Linked DNA regions of Drosophila melanogaster. The protein of the gene in region 2 purifies or fractionates together with the protein of the main gene of each other region. This does not show direct contact. Each region holds a gene or a part of one and is shown on either strand. Other genes may lie near its edges.

Evidence for each region.
Region 1: the proteins of Ufd1 (region 2) and Roc1a purify together in Drosophila melanogaster (affinity purification with western blotting; one study listed by BioGRID). This does not show direct contact.

The regions. Positions count from the first base shown.
Region 1 is NC_004354.4:643,932-650,009, reverse strand, and holds Roc1a (regulator of cullins 1a), read right to left. Parts: upstream 2,707-6,078; 5' UTR 2,563-2,706; coding exon 2,373-2,562; intron 2,308-2,372; coding exon 2,087-2,307; 3' UTR 1,413-2,086; downstream 1-1,412. Other genes in the region: CG13367 (uncharacterized protein), read right to left, coding at 3,812-4,020, 4,097-5,114. UniProt on the Drosophila melanogaster protein: Core component of multiple SCF (SKP1-CUL1-F-box protein) E3 ubiquitin-protein ligase complexes which mediate the ubiquitination of proteins involved in cell cycle progression, signal transduction and transcription.
Region 2 is NT_037436.4:11,120,263-11,126,272, reverse strand, and holds Ufd1 (ubiquitin fusion-degradation 1-like), read left to right. Parts: upstream 1-3,056; 5' UTR 3,057-3,224; coding exon 3,225-3,351; intron 3,352-3,408; coding exon 3,409-4,232; 3' UTR 4,233-4,291; downstream 4,292-6,010. Other genes in the region: mRpL2 (mitochondrial ribosomal protein L2), read right to left, coding at 4,292-4,710, 4,867-5,332.

The DNA of each region.
Region 1 (6,078 bases), on a different chromosome or scaffold from region 2:
CCATTTCCATGAGAAGAGGAGGAGCGCGTAGGGGGAGAGTACCGGGCGAGGACATGGTGAAGCACCAGGTGCAGAGAAGCAGGAATAACAAGGGATGGAGACTGAGAATGGCTGCGCTGCTGGCGTCGTTGCCTTTGCTGCTGCTGATTCCAAGCACCTTATAGAAACCGTAGGCTTAGATCTTAGTCCAAGTAGATGATCCCTGATATACCCGCCCTGGGTTTTCATATTCGGGAAGCAAAGCAACAGGCTGACCAATTTGTTAATGCGAATCCGGATATATACCAGATTGTAACTTGTTTTGTTTTTGCTTTCTTTTCCATTTCTCTCTTTCTCTTTGTGATCACTTCCCGTTTCTCCCAACCCTTTTACTTTGTGTCCGCGTTGCATGTGGCGCGTGTGTGTGTGGTGTGCTTTTATTTTGCAGGTGGCAGTCTGAATCGTAGAAGTAGGAAAAGGTCGCAGCAAAGGGCAGCGTGTTGCAATCACAACAAAAGCAGCAGCGGGAGCAACCGGAGCAGCGGCAACATCGGCAGCAGCAACAGCAGCAGCAGCACCACCACCACCACCACCACCAGCAATTTGATAGTTAAACGGCTAAGAATAGAGTTAAATCGCATTCAAATCATGTACAGTTGAGAACTAACCGACCTAAACAGCGGACGAGCAGCCCAGGAGCCACTGTGAATCAGAATGGGAGGATTTAGGACGCAATTAGCAGAGGTTTTAGACGCCTTGCATCCGAAACCCAACTTAGCTTTACACCAAGCAAGCCCCTCTGTTTGTTGCAAGATAATGAAACAACCACATATTCGAGGATACTTGGGACTCCCACCCCACAATAGCCAACAAGAAAACAATAGCGCAGCAGCGGCAACCAGAACAGCAATATATAAATAATAACATATATGCATGGTGTATATACAAGATATACGAGACAAACTTAATGTTAATTACTACAAAGCGAGCTGGTTGAAGAGACCGAAAGGAGGAGGAGCTTACACTTTCACATACATATAACAATAACAATGTATATAAACCAAAAAGCGGGAAATTTAATTATAAAGCAAGCGAAAACAATTGAACAGAAGATTCAAATAAAACGCTAAATACAACTCGATACAAGTGGTGGTTCAAGTGGTTCGACGGACCATGCAATCTGGTTTAATTCACATGAATCTGAATCCAAAACAACTCGCACTCCCTGCCCTTCGTTTTATTGCCAGCTTATTGTTTATTTTGTTCTCTGTGAAATTTGGTTTTTAAAAGGCGACAGATAGAAAACTACAACTAAACCATCACAACCACACACACACACGAAGCAAATTCGATGATTTTTTAACGACATAATTATTTTTTGTTTACCTATAAGTTTAGTTAGTAGCTTATGCAATTAAACATTAATCATATTTGATATATACCATATACTTTATTCATATCTGTAACTAATGTGTATTATTTTCTAAGCTGCCGCGGCCGCAAAACATTCATAATAAACTAAAAAGAACATTTAGTTTTTACAAACGCAGCTCTTTCTTTGCATCGACTGATTTTGATTTGTTTTTACGAAACTACTTTCATATATCTGAACAACCTGATCTGGAGCTGGTCATGACGCATATAGTTAAGCAAAACTAAACTAGTTTGAACTAGCCAGATCCTCTTCAAATGCCATCCAAGGATAACTAAGCAGAGCTACATTTATGGAACCCAATGACCCAATCATATTTTTTGCCAGTCATGAGTTATATACTCTGAAAATTTAGGCACGACTAGCTAGTGGATTTCGCGGTAAGATGCCATCGTCACAGTGAATATAGACTCCAAAGGGTGAAAGGTAGAAACATCCGTCTAGTCTTCTCCATCTTCTACAGCTTTTATTTAACGCGTTACAAAAAGGTGCGCTTCCCGGGGAGTCTCGGAAATCGGTAACTGTGCTCCTAAAGGCTACCAGTTCACTCGAATCGCCCCACTAGCTTAAGATCTAAAAAGGTATTCAAATGTCCAGATGAAGCAGGCCTCCATCATCTAGCTTGCGGGAAGTGCTGCTCCCTCCATCTGGTGGGTCTTGGGGGTTTTGTAGATTTTAGTGGCCGTACTTCTGGAAATCCCACTCGCGGTTGTCCAGTGGGCATACCTGGCGCGTCTTTAGCCAGCGAGAGATGCAGTGGAAATGGAAGGCGTGGTTGCAGACGCCCCAGGCCACGGTGCACTCCTCGCTAGTGGCGGACGCCTGGTTCGCCTGACACTCGATGCACAAGTCCATGATGTGGTTGCGGCAGATGGCGCAGTTGTCCACCACGATGTCTGCATCGAAATGGAATGCGGTTAATCCCCCGACTCGGAGCACTACAATTCGCATTACTACTTACCCCAGGCCCACAGAGCCACGGCGTTCCACTGTTTTCGGCGAAGCGGAAAGGATGAAGTGTTACCATCAGTACATTCATTGACAATGACCCTGCTTTTTTGCTGACCACTTACCTTCTTCACCTCAAAGCGCTTCTTATCGCCCTTGCTGCTGCTGGAGGGAACCTCGTATCCATCCTCGTCGACTTCCATGGTGGAAATACACCTATTTATCCTGACAAAACTCTCGCAACACAAATGCAATTTTCACAACTAACGTAGTTTTGGCTTTTCTGTCCCTATCCTTTTCGTTTTAATAGAAAACCACTCGCAGTGAGGCTCAAGCAGTGTGACCGCCGCTTTTTCTCGTAAAGGTGGCGAAACATCGATGCCAACATCGATGGCGTCGATGGTATCGATGGTATTTACTGCACATCGGAGAAGATATGTGTATATATTGTAAGTATAAATTGTAAGTTCCATATTTTTTAATAGAATTATTAATAACATATCGCAAATTTAGTGTGACTTGCTGGTGGTGTTGGCTGATGTCCTGAAAGACGTGGATAAATATCTGAAATTTAAGTTTTTAACTCCTGAATAAGGAGGGATGAAGACGTAGACGACAATAAGTTTATGTTTAGTTAAAATACTGCCTTTTTTATTTAGTCAATATTAAAAAAGAAAATAATATTTAAATTAAACAGATAATTTTTTTGTTTTTATTTAAAACATCGATGTTTAGAACAACATGTTTAAAGAATATGTTTAAGACTTTGATATTTTTCGCCAAATCGGAAACATCGATGTTTCTCCACCACTATTTTCTCGTCTAATTCAATAACGATTCCGATTCGTGTCGATAACCTTTTGGTATCTTAATCAAAATTTTTAATGTTTTGTTTATGGTATACCGATCAAATTGCAAAAAAGTAAAATCGAAGAAAAATCAAAACATTTTTCAAAAGTATATGCGTGGCAGTTTTGGGCGGTTTGTGGGCGTGGGAATTAGTTTTTTGCAATTCAAACAGGACTTATAACAAAATTTTAAAAATATCAAAACATTTTTCAAAAGTGCGCGCGTAGCGTTGGACGACACTAAACTGGGCCACATGGGTCAACAAACTTGCGCTGCGACTGTCTGTTTTATAGTTCCTGAGATTGAGGCGTTCATACGGTCAGACGGACATGGCCAGTTCGACTCGGCTATTGATCCTGATCAAGAACATATGTTTATACATGTATACTTTATAGGTCGGAAACGCTTCGTTATCCATAATTACAAAATTGTATTTTATTCATTAATTGCTGATTGAGTTCAGTTGGTACTACAGTACATCAAGTACTTTTTGAATTATTTTCTGTTCGGCAAGTAGCCCGTTTACGAAGAGTAAAAGTTGCAATAAATTAGATTTTTCAAATTCAGGGCTCCGGCCATCCTGCCCTTGAGCCACCTCTTCTGCTAGGAGGCACCGCCCGCTTTGTGGCCACTGCCCTTTTCCCGCTTGACTATCGGCAGCCGCGTCCAGATGTAGCCGCCCGATCTCTGGGCAGTGTACTCATCCACGTCCGGCAGGGGAAACGGGGTGCTCCGGTCGAAGTAGTAGTTGCTGGGAGCATGCATCACGAACTCTAGGTAGCAGAGCTTCCGGGACAGCTCCTCATCGGGTCCTGCAGGCACGGGAGTTAAGCAAAAATACAATTTAAAAAACTTTGGGTAGCAGGCAGGAGGACAGGACTGACATACCGATTAGGTAGGTAGGGGGATCGAAGCCCTCCTGGGGATCCGGACTGTCCTGCGTGGGAATCAGCCAGGTGAGGAAGGCGGACTTCTCGCAATAGGCGTCCACAAGCAGACCGCGTATCTGGGCGTAGTACAGATTCTGCTCGCTGTCCACAATGCTGACGATATCCCCGATTTGTATATAGCTGCCCTTGTGGAAAAGGCTTCTCACGAACCTGGTGCTCGCCTGCACCTTGGGAGTTTTCTGTGCTGGTTTCTTGAAGAGAGCGCGGCGATTACGGGCTCCAGTGGCCCCGCCTGTGCCCGCTGGACCGGACTTCCCATGCTTGTTGGTATTACTGGGATGGGCGCCAGCGCCCGCGAGGTGCACGGAGCTGCCGGTGGAACCATTCGCCCCGCTATTGTGGCCATTTGACTGGCTACTGCCGCTTCCGGGAGTGCCCTTGCCCGTTTGCTTGGCCTTGAAGCGCGTGCTCTTTCGCAGACGCTTTATTATCGTTGGGGAGCGGGTGGGCGCCTGGTTGGCTGTGCCATTTAGACTGCTACGGGTGATCTTGCCCGCAGTTCTCTGGCTGGGATTCGCTGCTGTCTCCGGCGAACTGGGCGCGACTTCCTCCTGAGCCTGCGGCTGCGGCGGCGGCTTCACTGGCTTGTCCTCCTCCTCGATTTTGATGGCTGTCGGATTGCTGGGCGGTTGCACGGAGCCGTCCTCCAGTGGCTTCTGGTCCTGCGCGTCCTTCTGCTCCTCCTCCTCTTTTTTCTCCCGTTTCGTTTTGGAATCCATCGGCTGCTCCAGCTCGGCCACCGTTGGCATCCGTTCGCTAGTGGTAAGATCGTTGTCTATCTCCATGTCCACGTCCATGTCGGTGGAGTCCTTCTGTGGCTCGCAGGAATAGGAGGGAGCTGCGACAATGGAGGCCAACGCCAGATCTCCAGCGGCTTCTGCTTGGAGGCCGTCGCCTGCGGTTGACACCTGGTACATGGGACTGACGCACTTGTTTAGGTCGGCGTCGGTTGACATGGCTAATCCATGCCCTTATTCAGGTCGTAGTGATTTTTAAAACAATAAATGCTTCAATGTGCTTGTTCTGCTATGCAAAACAACGTAATTTGTGTAGTATGTTTTTGTTAAACCAGTGTTGCCAGACCGGATCGGCGGGGGCTGCCAGGTAGCCAACTGTGCTCTGACTAATGCAGCCCTGGTTTTTTTAGGAATTCAAAATAGAAAGAAGAAATACCGGTGGAGATTCCATATTCAATTTCTCGCCAGTGGCGTTTTGTTAGATTTCCCTATCAATTTCGTTGGTAAAAGAACGTTGACCGTTGAACGTTCGGCCACCGTTGGCATCCGTTCGCTAGTGGTAAGATCGTTGTCTATCTCCATGTCCACGTCCATGTCGGTGGAGTCCTTCTGTGGCTCGCAGGAATAGGAGGGAGCTGCGACAATGGAGGCCAACGCCAGATCTCCAGCGGCTTCTGCTTGGAGGCCGTCGCCTGCGGTTGACACCTGGTACATGGGACTGACGCACTTGTTTAGGTCGGCGTCGGTTGACATGGCTAATCCATGCCCTTATTCAGGTCGTAGTGATTTTTAAAACAATAAATGCTTCAATGTGCTTGTTCTGCTATGCAAAACAACGTAATTTGTGTAGTATGTTTTTGTTAAACCAGTGTTGCCAGACCGGATCGGCGGGGGCTGCCAGGTAGCCAACTGTGCTCTGACTAATGCAGCCCTGGTTTTTTTAGGAATTCAAAAACGTTCAACGGTCAACGTTCTTTTACCAACGAAATTGATAGGGAAATCTAACAAAACGCCACTGGCGAGAAATTGAATATGGAATCTCCACCGGTATTTCTTCGACCGTTTATATTATTAGTACATTAGATTCGATGGCAAGTGTGTATATAAGGTAGAATTGCGCTATACTGCTATTTTTAGTTCGAATTCGCAGAAGATGTCATAATTTAAGCGTAAACGTAAACAT
Region 2 (6,010 bases):
GGATGCCACTCTAGTAATTAACGAATAACTGCAATAACCCAAAAACACACGACGCTGGGTTGTGCATGTGTGAGAAATTAGAGCTCCAGGAAGTACAATAACTTTAAAAGCATAAGTTGCACTTAAGCTATTGCAATGTATGATAAAAAAAAACATGATTCTCGTCTTTTTCTACCCAATTGTTTAATTGAAAATATTTAATTTTTTAAACATACTTTAAGCAGACTTCTATTACAAACTTTCGCGCTCTCTTCACACACATTAAGTTCATATATCTTAAGTGTTTAGCTGTCGTTATTATAGAGCGACCACTGTACGTGTGCCAACGTTTCTAGCACGTGTGACTGTACAAGTTCTGGAAGTAAACAAATGTGAGTGCGAAGCTCGTTTGGCAAATTTTACCTATTGCTCTTATTCTTTCATTCTCTCTCCATTCGACGACCTTCTTGGCATTCATAAAAGAGTTTAAACTGTGAAGCTGTGTTGTTTTTATTGGGTTTTTTCCATCACACGCGATCCGAAAATGGAATCACGAGTTTGTCGGCTGATATTCAAAACGTGAGCACAAAAAAAATATGAATAGAACGCTTCATCGAATTTCACATATGAATGTATGAACATATACATATGTATATACATACATATATGTATGTACATATGTTTGTGCTGTGTGCCTATAGAAATTCCACTCCCATCCAATACATTTTTTTGGGCACTTGGCAACCGGCAAATATGGCTATTGAATATTTCTGGGAACTGCTTGAAATCGATTGAATTACTATTTTCAGTAGTAAAAAGTAGGTAAAGCTAGGAAAGCCACTTGAAAATACATAATATTGAAAGCTAAGCAGTTATTTTAAACTATTTATACATAGTTTAATTGGGTACTAACTACCTCATGATAAATAAATCAAAGGGGTAGGTGGTTTATCTAAGTTTCTTTATAATTCTGAAGATATTTATATAAGCAGGTGTTCTCACTTGCATGAATAGAATCTCGTTGAAAAGGGGACATTTCTTATAATTTCTGAACGGAAATCCAGAACTTTAGTTTGAGAGACACTTGACCAGGTGCCATCCGAGCGAAAGATGCATTGAATCGGAATGGGAATCGGTCCACTTTGCACTCACACTCACTCCGTGCGGCGCCGAGTGTGTACACGCTATGACCTTGCGGGGTTGCTGCCACCCACCGCCCACTTTGAACCCAAACCAACTCATTCATGACCCAGAGCAATCCAAAACGAAATCCACGCCGTGATATCACGTTGTGCTGAAAACAAAAAATGTATAATTTCTTTGCTTGACGTAAGCGCAAAGATCTGATGTTCGGAAATTACGAAAAACGAAATGTTTTTTTTTCTTCGAAATTCTGCAGCATGCGTATACACAGATTTTTGGGAATTTTGCTGCTTGTGTCGTTGGGCTATTTTAAAGTTTAAATGCTTATCGGAAAAGCTGCTCCATTTCGTTGGCTGTGCGCTTGTTAAATTTAGTTCCCAGACGCAAAAACTGTACGTACACAACAAGATGCCGGAGTTTTTCTTCTACCCTTAGTACTTTGCTCATCACAGTGCGACTTGGCTATAAACGATTGTATTCTAATTTGAATTTTCAAAAGAGCAGGCGATTTCATTTCACAATATTTCTTTAGCTTTGCAAAGCGTAAGCAAGTGTCATGATAACGAAAAGTGGATTTTCCCAGAAATATTTATAAATAATTTTGATAAGTTTACACAGAAAGTAAACTAAGTTTTTAGCGGAAGTGCAATATAAACAACATTTTGATTCTCGAAAAGAGGTTATCTTTAAAATCAAAAACAGAAATCGTTGTGAGTCCACTTATAAGTAAAAACTTTTGGAAACTGGAATATGTTGGGCCATAGAGCGCTTATTAAATGAATTTACAAAAATTTGCAAGGATGCAACTGACGCCTTAAGTTAGGCTTCATTATTTGAAGCCAGCTTGTGAGTCACTGGAATTTCATATTCTCTCGATTTTAATACGTTTTACATGACAAAGACAAAAGATGGGTAAATTTCACAATAGAGGGGGGTGGGGCTCTTTGTTGTGGGGAAGTTAGGGCGAGAGCGAAAGAAAGGCGAAGAAAGTGGGGAGCATGATGGCGAGGGGAGTGTCTGGAAGCTGCCAGAAGAGACAAGAGAGCGGGAGAGTGCGCATCCTCTCGCTCTTTTCACCTTCTGTTCGGTGTTTCTGTTGTTGTTCTTGTTTTTGGTGTGGCTGCAGCTGCGAAGCAACAATAACAACCACAACAGAGACTCGAAAACAGCTGCACACGAAAACGGTGGCTGTCAAACTGTTTTGCAAAATTTAAAATGTAACTGTACTTGGCAAAAACAATACATTTTGCTGTATTTCTGTATGTCGTAAAAGATCTTTCGACCTGGAAGCTGGAGAACACTTTTTCCAGCCACTTGGCCACCACCCCGCCTTTGAACAAACCAACCAATCGATTGGCCAGCTTATTGATTTTTCTATTCGAACATTTTGCATTTGTTGCTCGTTTCGGTCTTTTGCTTAGTGTGTTTGGTTCGAAAAAAGTATTGGCAATCATGTGGGCATCGACATACACACTTTTTTTTTATCACACCCACGCGAAAAACACGCGGCGCCAGCCAGACTAAAAGGATACAGGCAGCATATCCTGCACACACACACACACACGCGCGCACAAAAAAGCTCGCCAGGATCGAGTGGTGCAGTTGACCAGCAAACCGCAGCTGCTGACAGCCAATTTTGAGTAGCGGAAACAGTTGGAGCTGCTGCCCCGAAATGGGTACTCACTTGATCAGCAGCACTTTTTCGAATCAATATACCCGTCTATTCAATTTTTTTTTAAGCGGGACGAAGTCGCGCGCAACCACCGGCTTGCTGGGTTTGTTAGAGATGTGCCGATAACTCGCCACTGCGATAGCTCGAGTTGCTACTTTTTGTTGTACGCCACGCGCTTGGGATTTTAGCGAAATATGCGTGCCACAACTTAGCTTGTGCCGCAACCCCACACAGTGCTGCCACCTGTGGGCGAAAAAGTTACGTCTACATGGTGTTCTGGTCACACTGCCCCCGCCGTGACAAACAAAATAGAAAAAAAAATAAAACAAAAGATAAAATTTTAGCCTCCCCCCTTTGAGAAATAAAGGGTCATTTGAGGCAGTTTAAATCGAAAAGAATCCATAGGCACGGAGAGCCCAGCACACATAGAATGTTCCACTTCAGCGGCTTCAACATGATGTTCCCGGAGGGACGCAATTTTCATGCCAACTACAAGTGCTTCTCCGTATCCATGTTGCCAGGAAACGAGCGAACCGACGTGGAAAAGGGCGGAAAGAGTGAGTTACGAGTGTAGGCTGGACAGAAATTATGTGAACAACACATTCCATCCACAGTTATTATGCCTCCCTCGGCGCTGGACACGCTCACCCGCCTGAATGTCGAGTATCCAATGCTGTTCAAGCTGACCAACGTCAAGAAATCGCGATCCTCGCATGCCGGCGTACTCGAGTTTGTGGCCGACGAGGGCAAATGCTATCTACCCCACTGGATGATGGAAAACCTGCTGTTGGGTGAGGGCGACATACTCAACATCGAGAGTGTCTCGCTGCCGGTGGCCACCTTCTCAAAGTTTCAACCGCACAGCACCGACTTCCTGGACATCACCAATCCCAAGGCGGTGCTGGAGAATGCATTGCGCAACTTTGCCTGCCTCACCAGGGGCGATGTCATAGCCATTAAGTACAACAAGAAGGTCTACGAACTGTGTGTCCTGGAGACAAAGCCCGGCAATGCAGTCAGCATCATTGAGTGCGACATGAATGTGGAATTTGAGGCGCCAGTCGGCTACAAGGATCACTCCGAAACGCAGGCATCGGGCTCTGGGCAGCAGGGTGCTGCTGGAACTGTTGGCGGCGAAATCGCTGGAGCCACCAACGCCATACTCGAAGAGGTCGTGGAGACCTTCAAGGGTTCCGGCGTACGTCTCGATGGTAAGAAGAAGAAGGAAAGCCAGTTGGAAACGCCGGTCGTTAAGAAGGTGCTAGCCCGCGGCGTTCCAGACTATGATTTCCAGTTTGGACTCATCCGTTTCGATCGCAACATTCGGCCTATCAGTGATAGAAGCCAAGAAGATGATGCCGTAGCTGGCAATGCGGACGCTTCCGATGCGGAGAGCTTCCACGGCACCGGTTTCTCGATGAAGAAAACGCGCAAATAGCTCTGTATCTCTAGTTCTAGTTATATATTGTGTGACACATAGAAATTAAAGGAAAAACCTCACAGGGGCAGCGTCAACTTGATGGCCTCCTCCTTGGGCGGAGCCGGTGGCGATATGGTGGTCATGGGCGGCAATCGGCGTATCTTGCGTCCGTGTTTGCCTTCCTTGCGCTTCCACAGACCGGAACGTGGTCGATTGCCCATCTCCCGCATCCGCTGGGCACTGCCCACATGCTCCTTGTTGTGTTCCGGGTTGGACAGGCGACCAACCGTCGCCATGCAGGTGCGCTGGAAGGCGAACTCCCGCTTCGAGGGCAGCTGCACCACCACCTTTTCGTCGAACTTGCGCAGAATGGTGCCGAAGGTGCCGGCGGCATGGATCAGGTGGCACATCTGGCCGGGGTTCTTCTCCAGACAGTGAATGCGTGTGCCCACGGGCAAGGCGCCCAATGGATAGGCATCGCCTTCGTTGGGACGCACTATGGGATCATACAAAAAAAAAAAATTATATTGGCATAACTGGTTGTTTCAGAGCCAGTAAAATTTCTAGATTCCATGCTCAGTTTAAGACTATACTCAGAGGATTACTTAGAAAACGTTTAATACTCCCGATGAGTAACAGTAAGTAAATTTACCCGGAATCCTAGGAATAAAGCGCGAGGTCTTGAGGATATCGCCAGCCTTCATGTTCTCGGTGGCCAGGATGTACTTCAGCTCATCGCCGACGGCAACCAGGGCCACTTTGGCGGTGCGACAGCCATCGCGTAGCACCTCGAGTACCAGTTCCTCCTGGGCGCCCTCCGTGGGACCATCCCGCACCCATTTAACCCAGCGATACTGCTGTTTGATGCCTCCGCCAATGCCCTTGGCCACCAAGCGACCGGAGACGGGATCCCGACCAGCCAAATGGGTGATCTTCAGCGGCTCAACGGTGTACTTCTCCGGAAAGTGCACGGTTCGTCGGAATTGCTGTCCGGCACCAGGTTTTGGTTTCTCCACCACTTTGGTTTTGCCGCGCAATTGCTGCAGAAACGCCGGCGCCGTGCGAAACGGCGTTTGTATAGTCAGCGTTGTGCTCAGCAAACGTGTTACACTTTGCATTTTCGATAGTTTTATTTGAAAAATTAAATAGAACGAAAATATATGCAAACTGTTACAAAATCGAAATGCGGCTGAAAACAGCTGTTACGCGGCGTTGCCAGACCACGAACGGGCCATGCCTGATTTCGGGCGCTAGCGTTGCCAGCATTTTGCTCGAACTGATCTCTTCTTCTTCTCCTTCACCGCGCTGAAGCAATAAGAATCGGGAAAACCGCATTAAAATCGCTGAAAAAGTGCACAAATCGGCTTTAAATTATTGCCCAATTACTAGTGTTACGTGCATATCGAGAGATTTCATAAATTGCAACAGCCAACGATTTTTTCCAACAAGGTACGCAAAATAATAAAAATAAACAAGACGAACAGAAAAATAATATACACACACAAACACGCAGCGAAAAACGTGTTGTGTGCAAAAAAAAAAGACTGAAAAAAAAGAACAACAAAAACAGTTCGAGTTTGATAACCAACGGCGAAAATATAAACAGCAAAAGAGAGAGCGAGAATTAGTAGTAATAAAAATCAATAGCAGAGTGAGCGGAAAATCAGCTTAACCAGCTAAATGGCATATAAATAAATATAAGGTTTTTATTTTGGAACACGCTCATCCAACACACATGCACACGCGCATACACGCACGCACACACACAGGAGTAAAGGTATGGGTGGCCTCAAGTG